2 linked regions of the Caenorhabditis elegans genome follow. The protein of the gene in region 2 purifies or fractionates together with the protein of the main gene of each other region. This does not show direct contact. Each region holds a gene or a part of one and is shown on either strand. Other genes may lie near its edges.

Region 1 (7,795 bases), on a different chromosome or scaffold from region 2:
ATGGCAGTCAGTTTGAAAAAAAAGTTCAACAATAAACAGGAGATCAGATAAATTGAGGAAATAGTTTAAAATTTGGGTTTTCACAGTTTTGGAAGTGTATCGAAAGAGGGACACAAATGAACTAATTGAGAAGATTGAGATAAGTGAACGAGACCTTTTGAGCTTTCGCCAAAAATTGAAACGGGGAAATGTTTGGGGTGAGGGAGAGAGGCACATCAAGTGGAACAGGTTTGTGAAATAAAATATGCAATGATTAAAACGTCCTAACTAGAACTTTCTAGGCAGTGAAACTCATCTTATTGTTGTTAGCTGCGGGTATATATTTCATGTTGTCGTAGATTGAGTACAAGTCGGTGAACGAGAACTGCTGAAGAGCTATGAAGCCTTCGATTCCTTGCCTGAAAAATCACATTTTCTTTTCGAACCACTATAATTCTGAGTGAGGTTCCGCAAGTACTTGTGTATTTTTTAAAAGTAACTTTTCAAAAATATACAGAATCACGTGTTGAATGTTTTTGTATTTTTAGGCATAAAAAATAACCATTTCTAAGCCCAAAACGTTCAAAAATTTTGAAAACTTACGATTTAGCACAGTATACACAGAAGACTGTAAACTTTCCGCCAATATCCTTCACGAACAAAATACAAAACACTTCACACTCGCACGTCATACAGAAATGGGATTGTTCTCCACTTGTTCGAGTATGAGCTTTTATGGTTTTCTTCTGAGACACGATATAATCGGCAACCATTCTCAGGAATGCAAGTGATCTGAAATAAAGTTATTACAAACTTGATTGTTCTTCTTAGGCTACTCACCTAATCAATACACCTTTGCAAGTATTGTAGATGAGCTGGTTGGTAAACTTGACATTCTTTGCTACTTGCCAGCACATTAATTGCATTGGAACTTCACTCTTAAATCGGCGCAGCTTGTTGTATTCGTAGCTGAGCAAAGAGATGCTCAACTGTTGAAAGTTGAGTGGCGCCACATTCCAAGAAATGTTGTTGCACCATCCCGAAGCTTGTACCCAATGAATGGCTCCGCCACTCACATATACCATGTCTCCAGCCTTCTGTGTGAAACGGTGCACTGGAATTCCTGCATCTAATAAGTCATCGATAATAGGCCAAAATGTTCCAGTCAAAAGATCAACGCCATTCTTCTCGCACAACTTATGCATCTTTCCCCAATACTCGTATGGAACGGCAAACCATTCACAGTCACCGGGACCAATGTTTATGTTGATGGAAGCCATGTGATTGCTATCCTGATGAGCTGGTGTTCTGCAGCCAGGAACTTTCATGAAAAGCTTAACAGTATTCATGCCGTGAACTTGGTGCCCCAAGTGGGAGAGCATGTTTGAGCCGGCGATGAGGCGACAAAAAGCAGGAAGTTTAGAAAGTTCCTGAAAAACGGCAGTTGTGTTTGGTTTTAAAATATGGAGCAATAAAAAAACTTACGTTGATCTGTTTTCCCCATTTAGTGTCATCAGATAAATCAATATTAGTTCCATATTTAATAGACTTCAGATGTTTCGGTGGAGAGCTGGCTCGCTTATACAATTTCATTCTTTTAGGAGAAGGTCCACGTGTTCCTCCCACATTTTTCTTGATTTTCTCAGCTTCACCCTTTAGCGTGTGCTTGAACGATTCCGATTGATACTCGGCATACTTGTTGACTGTTGTGTACGAGGGATCACTGACACATTGCCATGTCTGTTGACTTGCATGATCACAGTTCGTTTCTGGTGGTAGTTGATACTGAGTTCGGATTTCAATTTCTTGGTTTCCGTCAATTTCTGCCACTGCTTTCGTGGAGAATAGCGACAAATCGAGGCGAAGGCAACCAGTAAGTCCACGAATACAAGAAATAGTAGACCCATCCAAAAACCGTTGTAATTCCAGACTTTGAGCTTCCTTCCTATTGTCCACCGTAAGAATTGGGGTTTTAAGAATTAATGGATGCTTTTCACTCCTTTCTAGCGCCGTGCGTACATCTTCATCTGTTACAATTGGCTTTACGGGACCTCGTGGTGGCTCGGGTAACTTCGCAAATTCTTCAAACACTGGTAGGTATGTGGAGTTTGGCTGAGTTCTTCTATGAACCATTTGCATAATTTCCTGAGCGCTGATATCCATTGAAACATAGAGCTCCGAGAGCAAACTGAAACTATCCGGAAGGTCATTAAACGAAATTTTCGGTAAGAATGGGAAGCTGTAGCATCTCGGCGATTCAAGTAGATGCCCATGGTCGCGAAGGTTTTGGATCATTTCCTCGGTGACACGTGGCATTTCACGAACGGCTTCCGGAATTACGTATTCAATAACTTTTGCCTGAAAAATTTAATGTTTTTCAATAAACCATTTAATAATCCCTATGGTTTTCAAATGTTTCAGATTACAGAAAAAGTGAGTCACAACTTTAACTTTCAGTTCTGATCACGCTTCAGTTATTCAGAATATATTTTACATGCGACAATAGAACATAGAAAAGCTTTATAATTAGGCTCATTGCGTCTACTCAAGAGATTTGTGCAACAGATACGCTATGAAATTCTCTCGTTTTTTTCCTTTTTTAATGTTAGAAGCAACACTGGCGGCCGCCCTGGCAGCAACTGCATCATCACTTCCCTTGATGTACTGGCATAAATGTATAGCTATCATACACTAATGAAAAGAGTATGACTTCTAAGCCGTGTTTGGCCTTTTTTGCTCGCATTTTTCACTGGCCTGTGTTTGTCAGCTATTTGAGCTCTTATTACCTTAAACACTGCCTCGCTGGTTTCCAAACACTCAAGAACTTCTCTCTCAGCTTTTACTAAAGCTGGTTCGTTGGCACGAAGCAACTGCATAACCTGGATTTCGAGATCTTCCATTGGCCTTGGATACGTTACATCCCATTCCATATCTTCCGGCTTTTCATGCTCCATTGTTCTGAAATCTTCCCAAAGATCCCAAAACGCGTTGTCATACTGAGCTTCTCTGTCCTAAAAATTGTGGTTTCAAAAAAACGCACATGACAACAATCACTTACAGCATAGGCAGCGTCTTGACGATTACGAAGCTCTAGAGGTATTGGCTGCTCATAAGCTTCTTTCAATGAAGGTATCACGGTTTCAAATGTTGATGACGAGGCGTGATTTGAGGGACGTGCGGGCACAGGCATCGAGAGTTCTTTTTCAAGAAATTGTACACGAGCTTTGATTGGTTCCGGAGCAACTGAAATGTCATGATAACATTAGTTTGTTCTTTAAAAAATCTGAAATCGTTAATTACTACTACTCACTCAAAACAGCCTCTAGCTTTACATTTAACCTACATTTACAAGCTCACCTTCCTAAAACTTGAAAAACTCAAAACTGCAATGAAATATATTGTTTCTCTTTTTAATGGATACTGCGTTTCATTTGTCACGTCTTCTATTTTATTAAACATTTTCAACTTGGAAACACTTACAGTGTGTATTGCTAATTTCAAAATGAATGTTGTTTGTTATCAGAGCTTTCTTAGAAAAGACCATTACAATTGAAACAACTTGGTTTTTTTCTTAAACATTTTTCAGTCGTTGTCATAAATGTTGTCATACTTCCTTTAAATATATTTTCCAATCACGTGGAAATTTTATCTGGTGACTAGAGATTAAGCAGATTAGTTGTGCTTCTGTTATATCCTTTCATTTCTCTTATATTTTCGTTTAAGTTTACATTCAATGTTTGGCGATAGCAAATTTAGCGACACCCATTCTACTATAGACAGGCAAGTATCATTGGCTGATAAGAAATGAAGAAAATCATATTGAAACTGATTCATTCACAACATTTTTTGATAGAAATTTCAATTTGGTTTTTCCAGAAAAGTTATAATTTATTTATATTCTTCTACTTTTTCTTTCAGGAAACCATCAACATACCTGGATTGTTCAGCATTGCATTTTTGAAACACTCCAGCGCATCTTGGTACTGGGCATTTTTCTCATAAAGCTCTCCGAGATCTGTCCATGCCGCAGAATGTGTTGAATTCAGCTCAATTGCACATATGAATGCCTAAAACGTGTTCAATATATTAAAAATTGGAGGCATTTATTGGAAAGATTGGGGTGGGCATACGCCATTGTTTTGAGAATTGCTCTGATCTTGCACACTGTGCACATTGTTTCCAAAAACTCTAATTTTGATTCCTGAACATACCTGAAGAGCATCAATGGGTTGATTTTGTCGCTGATACAGAGCTCCAATTGAGCACCACGTGTCCGCATTCTGCTCTTTTTTGTCAATCGAAAACCGGTAGTTGACAAACGCATCGTGTGCCTTAAATTCAGGAAGAATTAAATTATTTTCCTAACGTTTTTTTTTGAAAATTAGAGGTTAATAGAAATAAAACAAGTTATTTTTTAAGATTGTTAAGGAACAAAATGAACACAAACCACTTGTCCACTAACACTAGGCTCGTGTTCCCCGTAGACTCGTCCCAGATAGTAGTAGCTTTGTCCATCTCGTGGATCTGTATCATGTGCACTAATGAGATTCTCTTGGGCCTTCTTCAAATGATCCAGACGATTTGCATCGTCTTTATAAGAGCGGCGATATGAAATCCAGCCAATTTGTCGCAAACATGCTGCTTTCACACTTATCAATAAGTCAACTTGTTGTTGATCCACATTCGACTTGCTTTGTAAGAAACTGATGTGTTGTGTTAACTGAAATTATTCGATTTTTTTTTGTTTTTAACATTGTTTGGTGATACTACTCACTTCAGTTATTAGGTTTTCATATTCTGATTCTGCAATTTCAAGCTCATCATTATTCTCGTGGCTCAGAGCAATGTTGTACTTAATTGTGAATTTCGGCATAAATACTGACTCATCACTGTCGTTGACGGCAAGTTTGAACAGCTGTAAAATATAATAAGTTTATTAAATAACTGAAAAGATTTTACGAAATTTTACGCATTGTAAAGTTTCTGGAGTATAGCTTTTTATTGCAAAAGCATGCGTATTCTCGGTCTTTTGATCTAGCTTTGTAGAGTATCTAGCTAATTTTCCACAACTAGTTGTGGGAAAACTGCCAGTTTGCTCGAGAAAGCTGATGGTAAGACTTACCAAAAGTTTAATTAAGAAAGATTGTAGAAACACTACAAATTTTAATAACGCATTGAATGCAATTAAAACTTGTTTTTTTTATGTCTCAACTTATAACTTTTTCAGATCGTTTTCTTAATACTTACATTTATGCATCTGTTGTAATCTTCAAGTTCCATGTAACACACTCCAAGACGAACTTTTGCTTGCAATGCGATCATACCGGTTGGAAAACTATATAGCAGTCTTGTGAATGCCTCGATTGCACTAGAAGATTTTGTTTCAGATTATTCACAACAAAAAAACAAAAACTCACGGTTTCCACTGTTTGAAATGCAAGTAGACAAGACCTAACCCGAAGTACATCGAAGGATCATGTGAGAATAGGTCAGGATGATGGCTCAACACTTCTTGATAAAGCTCCAGTGCTCCGGTCCAATCATTTGCCAAAAGAACAACGTGACACTGTTTCGCCAATCCGTAGAAAATGCGCCGTTCGATTGTCTTGTACTTGTGCGTTTTATAAATGCTCTTCATCTCATCCACATATCTGACAAGGTATTGGCGGGCTTTTGCAAAGAACAATCTGACTTGATAAGTGAGATCGGCTGGGTTTTGAACGTGAAACTCGTCGAATGATAAACTGAAAATTAAAAAAATATTTACTTTATTGCAATCTTGTGACAATTTTTCAACCTGCTTAATGTGCGAATCCTTTCCAGTTCATAATTTGTCAGAAGGGGCAGTTCCAGCCATTTTTTAAAGTTTCCAGGCTGAAAAATGAGAAAATTTAACTTTTGCGCACTAAAAACAAGTAATCCTTACATGACGCTCCTCCGGCAGAGGTTCTGATTCGTCCATTGGCGGTGTGAGAAGCGATACGGTGTTCATGCACAAGACTTTTTGGGAATTATACAAATCTGGAAAAACTGCAGCGATTTAGTAATAATAAAATACATACACATAAGAGAATTGTAGGAAACATAACTTGGAGAAATCTTAATCAAGTTTTGACAAAGAAAATAAGCACAAAAAATCAATTAGAGCACTGTGAACTGGTCAATACTGTGTCTTAATTCAAATAGTATGGTTTATTAAACAAAGATCAACGTTAGAAACGGAGTATCGTTGCCATTGCCGTGCGTTCGCAGCCCGTCTCTACTGTGCCTGTTTGGCGAATGGTGGAGGGGGAAATGGAGAGGTAGTGCTCGGTATACGGACGCGCAGACGGTTAGAAACGCTTGGGCGGACAAGGAGTGGGTCGATGGTGTGCGCAAGTATGGATTGGGGTCGTCAGGGGGCAATTTGTGGAAAGGGTGAATATATGCAGATTTCGCAATACCGCACAAAGTGGAACTGAATCTCATTCAGAAATTTGTAAAATCGAGAGAACATGAGTTATGAAAAATTCCATGCTAAGAATATTGTCAAGCTACTCTGCTTTATTCTTCAAAAATATGTAAATAAAAAACTAACACAAATCTTGAACAATATTGCCAATAGTAATAGAACTTTGGTATCTTTATAGTTTTTTGAAATGTCTTTTTCACATTAAGTTTTTGATCCACTTTGTTTGAGAGCAACCAGTACATTATTGTGGATCTTGTTGTAGAAGTTATTACTTTAAAACCTGAGCTTTTTGAGATTAACAACAGGAAGACCGCTGGAAAAAAAAGTTACAATCCAAGATTTTGGACAACACAAACTGAGTTCTTGTTTAATTTCAAGAAAATTTATTTACATCTAGGAAAACAGTAAAGAAAAAGAGATCTCGGAAATACGCAAGAGAGAAGAGCAAAGTAAGAAAACTGATGGAAAACTTCAAATATCTCCAAGCACTTGATTCTAACCGGAATGTACAAAAAGTTTAACAAAAAAGGAAATGAAAGAGGGAAAAAGGGAGATAGAGAGCATTTAAAATCTTTTCACAACCAAATTATACAAGTGAAGTATCTCATGTAAAACTGAAAGAAAATGAAAAAGAGTAGATTGTGAATGGGGGAATGGGCGGGGATGAAATTTAAATTTAGGTTTCTGATTCACATTTACAAGTATTTTGTTTTTTATTGATAGATTTGTTATGCCATAGAAAAGTTTTGATTCTCAAGTTTGAAAAATCCGGGGAGCAGGGCAAGTTTTTCAGGTCCGATGAAGATAAAATCCGAATTTGTATTTTCACCAGTTTGGATCGCCGTTAGAGGAAAAGAATTCCAGAAGATTATGACACCGTTTCGAGATGCTTGGCTTGTGATGAATAACATTGTAGTCAGTGGAGCCGGAGTGAGAATGGGCATGACCAGCTCGGCGAGCTTTGATACGATCGTTGGTCGTCACTCCTTGCGAGATCTATAATAATTATTGTATTTAATTTTTTGTAACAAGAATGAATAATTTCTAAAATTGAATTACCGAATGTTCTCTATTAGTAATGTGGCTGTTGCTATCAATAACGCATTTAAATGTGTCCACGAAAATTTGTGTTCAAGTCTCTAGCAATCCTAATTTTGTTGGAAATGCCAATTTCAAAGATTTTCATTATTTGCAGTTCAATTGTCTTCTATGTATAATAAAACTCCTAACAACCAATTAACAAAAAAAACGTCAATAATTAATTTATTTTTAACAACTTTTTTTAAATCGTCACCTAACACAATAGCTGTTTCATTTGAAAATAGGTAATCTCGAACTAAATTTAAACTATCAAAAATAGTATTG
Region 2 (4,581 bases):
ATTTTCCGACGCTTAATGTGATGAAGATGACGAAAAAGATGCAGGAGACGCAGAATGGAGGCTTTGCTGCCGTTGCTAGCAGTGCTAATGAATGTTGATTGTATTTTCTCTTTTTTAGGGGAAATTTGACTGAAAATTTGAATTAAAAAAAAAAAAGAAAAATGCCAAAGAGTTCCGATGGGGTGAGGCTGAGCCAGAATTGTAGTTTGTAGTTTCTGAGCCTCACCCAAATTTTGAAGCGATTTTCGTGGAAAATACATTTATTTTGGTCGAATCCAAATATTTTTTTTGCGGAAAAATCGAATTTTTCAATTTTCAAACTTTTGTTTTCTAAAAGTCATGTTTTTTGAATAAAAAATCGAAAAATCGACCAAAAACTGCGAAAACCATCCACTGATTTGGTTGAGGCTCAGAGACTACAAACTACAAATATTCCACAGCCTCAACCAAGGCTTTTCGTTTAAAAACTCGAATTTTCAGTAGATTTTTCCCGATTTTCATCTACTTTTCCCCAAATTTCAAATGTATTTTCACCATTCTATCCTAAATTTTAAAGAAAAATGCCAAAAAATTCCAATTGAGTGAGGCTGAGCCAGAATTGTAATTTGTAGTTTCTGAGCCTCACCCAAATTTTGAAACACTTTTCGTGGAAAATTCGTTAATTTTAGACGACTTTTTATTTTTTTTTTGCTGAAAAATCGAAATTGTAGCATTTTTCATAGAATTTTTCTATATTCAAGCTTTTCATGTGGAAAAATCTGAAAATTATCAGATTTCTATGAAATATTTCTTTCATGAAATTTCGTCGAATTTACACATTATTTTTCGAAAATGCTAGCTTTTTCCCAGATTTTAGACAATTTTCGCGAGAAAAATCGACTAAAAACTACGAAAACCATAGCTAAAACCATCCACTGATTTGGTTGAGGCTCAGAGACTACAAACTACAAAAATTCCACAGCCTCACTCAACAATTTTTCGCTTAAAAACTCGAATTTTCAGTCGATTTTTCCCGATTTTCATCTACTTTTCCCCAAATTTAAAATGTATTTTCTCAATTTTTGTCCTCATTCTACACCTTTCTTTCGAAAATTCCGCTACTTCTGTCTCTCCCCGCTCTCTCTACCGCATGTGTGATCACCATTCTTTCTCTTTAGCTTTATTTCGTAGAAGCAGCAACGCCATATAATAATTAAAAATCGTCGTTATTTTTCTTGAAATTCTCTACGCATTTTACCCCATTTTTTCGTGTTTTATCTCAATACGATTCCTCTGCAATGCCTTTTTTTGCGTTTCCTTTCAATAAAATGAGATTTTTATTTGATTTATATTACTTCATTTTCAGATTTTTGATTTCAGTACTAAAATTCCTCGAATATACTTTAAAATTAGCTATTTATTCTGGTTTTAAACGGGAAATTCCCTTCATTTCCCCCTCGCGGCCACGCGCGTTTTCCAAGGCCACCGGCCGTGTAGTCCTCTCGGATAACTTCGAATTTAGACATTTCCGCAGTATTTTGCTAAAAAAACCGAGTTTCAGACGGAAATTGAGCATTTTTAATGGATAATCCGGAGAGTACGGGTGACGTTTCGTGGTTTGAGCTATTCGTCGACCCAACATGCATCTCAAAGTCGCTTTTGGACCCGGAAAAGAGAAAACGTAGGGAAAAATGCTCGTTTATGCCTGAAAATTCATGCTTTTCCATTGCAGAACTCCCACGACTATGTATGCAATTCACGGATAAAGGATTCCTCGCCGAACGGGAAAAAGATAAAGGAAAATTGGCTGTCGAGGAGCTGATGCTCTTCGAGAGAAAGGCGGCAAGTATGAGATTGTGTGCGATGGCCACGTTTGCCGCGTTGGATTATGATATAGAGTTTATTATTGATAAGTGAGTACTTGATTGAGGTGAAAAAACGAAGAAAAATGAATGAAAATGAGGCTAGAAGAGTTCTGTGGGTTGGTTGAGGTTCACAGACTACAAACTACAAAATTTCTGAGCCTCAACCAATTTTCTAGTCAAAAATTCTGATTTTGAGAGTTTTTCAGTTAAATTTCTTGTATATTTTGTGGAAAAATACAACAAAAAAGATTTAAATGCTCAAACAATTTGAGAAATTTCTTAAAATTCAATTTTTTTAAATTTTTTGAAATTGTAGTTTGTAGTCTGAGCCTCAACCAATTTGCTAATTTGAAAACAAATTATTTTGGATGTTTTTTCATAGATTCAAATTTATAAAAAAACTGAAATTTAGGTTTTCTCTGAAATTCAGAATTTAAAAAAATGCCGAAAATTCCAAAAAATTCGGAAATTTCACAAGAAACGTCCAAAAAATTCGAATTTTTAAAAATCTTAAATCGAAAATTGAATATTTCGCTCTTCCAGGCAAAGAAAACTACAAAACTTCGTGAAAAGTTGCGTTAAAAATGGTTGAGGCTCACAGACTACAAACTACAAAATTTCTGAGCCTCAACCAATTTTCTGGTCAGAAAATTGAGATTATGAGAGTTTTTCAGTTAAATTTCCTGTATATTTTGTAGAAAAATACAAAAAAAAAACTTTTTGTTTTTAAATTTCACACAAATTGCTCAGAAAACCAGCAATTAATTTTGCAATTTTGCAATTTTGTAGTTTGTAGTCTTAGCCTCAACCAATTACTTTTCCAGCATTCCTCGCAACGAAATCCAAACATTACGTGTGCTGGCCGACAATTTCTATCGAATCTACAACGAAAAGAATCTCGACGCAACATTCGGCAATTGGCTCTTCTACCGTTTCGTACTTTCCATAGATCGCCGTAATCGTCTTGCACCGCCGGCTCCGCGAGCCACAATTCCAACAACTTTAAGCAATGGACAACTGATGCCAACTGATCCAGCACTGCTGAAACACGAAAAAACACAAAGAACAATTATGGAATTAAAGGAACATGTGTTGAAAGCGAGAGCATTTATAACTGAATTGGCAGAAGTTCCACGAGATGTTGTTGCTCCAGGAATTCAGTGCTTTTTGAAGCCTTTTGTTGAACTGGCACCGAAGTGAGCACGAGAAAGTGCTGAAAATCCGCTAAAAATCCGCTAAAAACTTCAAAAAAACTAGTTTGAAACCGAAATATTTTTGGTTGAGGCTCAGAGACTACAAACTACAATTTGTGTGAGCCTCAACCAACTGTTTTAGAATGGCTGAGTGAGGCCAACAAAATTTTGTAGTTTGTAGTATGGGTCTTCAGTTGATAAGATTTGTTGAATAGCTGGAATTTGAGAGAGAGAGAGAGAGAGAGAGAGAGAGAGAGAGAGATAGAAAAAAGAAAACTTCTGAATTTTACAAGTTGCTCTCAGTGAGTTGGTTGAGGCCCAGGCAAGCTACACTACAAACTACACATTTCTGAGCCTCAACCAATTTTTTTTAAAATTTTCTATTTTTTTTTCTTGAAAAGCAAGTTTTTCGAACAAAAGTGTGATATTTAGTCCAATTAATCAGCATTTTTCTAATTTTTCAGCCAATCTTGTCAATTTGAATTTGGTTGAGGCTTAGACTACAAACTACACTTTTTCTGTTAGCCTCAACCATTTTTCGCAGAATCTTTCAGTATTTTATATGAAGAAAATCCTAATTTTCGTTGAAAAAATCAAGATTTTGACCCTAAAATAGCGAAAAAAACATCAAATTTTGTTTTTAAAAAGAACTGCTGAAAATTTGGGTGAGGCTCAGAGCCTACAAACTACACATTTCTGAGCCTCAACCAAATTTTTTTTTTTAATTTTCGATTTTTGCGAGTTTTCAAACGATTTTTTCCTGAAAAGCAAGTTTTTTTCGAACAAAAAGTGTGATATTTAGTCCAATTAATCAGCATTTTTCTAGTTTTTAATACCTATCTTGTCAATCTGAATTTGGTTGAGGCGTAGACTACAAACTACACTTTTTCTGTTAGCCTCAACCATTTTTCGCAGAATTTTTCAGTGTTTTATAAGAAGAAACAATACGATTTTGAGTCATTTTTCAAATGAAAATTCTTCAAATTATACAAAAAAAATTGATTCCTAAAAGTTAAGTCATCGGAAAAAAATTCGAATTTTTTTTTTCAGAAATTTTTTGATTTTGACAATTCGTTTTTTTTTCTCGAAAGGTCGAATATCAGTTTCTCACACTACAAACTACAAAATTTTTTTTTGTAAAATCCCAGCTTAATTACATTTATTTTGTAATTTTCTGATTAAAATTAGAGCAAAAAATCTGCTATAAATTGTGTAGTTTGTAGTCTAGTCTTCACACACATCAATTTTTCAACCAAATTTTAACTTTCAAATCGAAAATTATCGCTATATTTTTTATTCATTACCCACATTCTAATATCGTTTTCCAAAGTTTTTCTCTCACACTACAAACTACAAAACCACAGCCCTGTAAATGCAGGTTCTGTAGTTTGTAGTCTGTAAAATACACCATTTTTCCACAAATTTTGTGTGATTTTCGCTAATTTTTGTTTTGCTCTTTTGCTTTAAAGAAGGACTAACTGTTCGGACGGTTTTGAACGTATAGACCCAAAAAATGAGCTCAAATGAACGAATTTCGTAATGAA

Evidence for each region.
Region 1: the proteins of ints-8 (region 2) and utx-1 fractionate together in Caenorhabditis elegans (co-fractionation; one large-scale study listed by BioGRID). This does not show direct contact.

Annotation. Positions count from the first base shown.
Region 1 is NC_003284.9:8,555,356-8,563,150, reverse strand, and holds the start of utx-1 (JmjC domain-containing protein), read right to left. Parts: upstream 6,001-7,795; 5' UTR 5,972-6,000; coding exon 5,906-5,971; intron 5,854-5,905; coding exon 5,777-5,853; intron 5,724-5,776; coding exon 5,397-5,723; intron 5,348-5,396; coding exon 5,227-5,347; intron 4,895-5,226; coding exon 4,754-4,894; intron 4,700-4,753; coding exon 4,427-4,699; intron 4,311-4,426; coding exon 4,191-4,310; intron 4,047-4,190; coding exon 3,914-4,046; intron 3,223-3,913; coding exon 3,038-3,222; intron 2,991-3,037; coding exon 2,766-2,990; intron 2,338-2,765; coding exon 1,465-2,337; intron 1,410-1,464; coding exon 820-1,409; intron 772-819; coding exon 583-771; intron 399-582; coding exon 278-398; 3' UTR 1-277. Other genes in the region: dhhc-14 (Palmitoyltransferase), read right to left, coding at 7,256-7,426.
Region 2 is NC_003279.8:13,467,331-13,471,911, reverse strand, and holds the start of ints-8 (INTegrator complex Subunit homolog), read left to right. Parts: upstream 1-1,540; 5' UTR 1,541-1,560; coding exon 1,561-1,660; intron 1,661-1,711; coding exon 1,712-1,892; intron 1,893-2,668; coding exon 2,669-3,040; intron 3,041-4,581. Other genes in the region: ndrr-1 (Protein NDRG3), read left to right, coding at 1-98.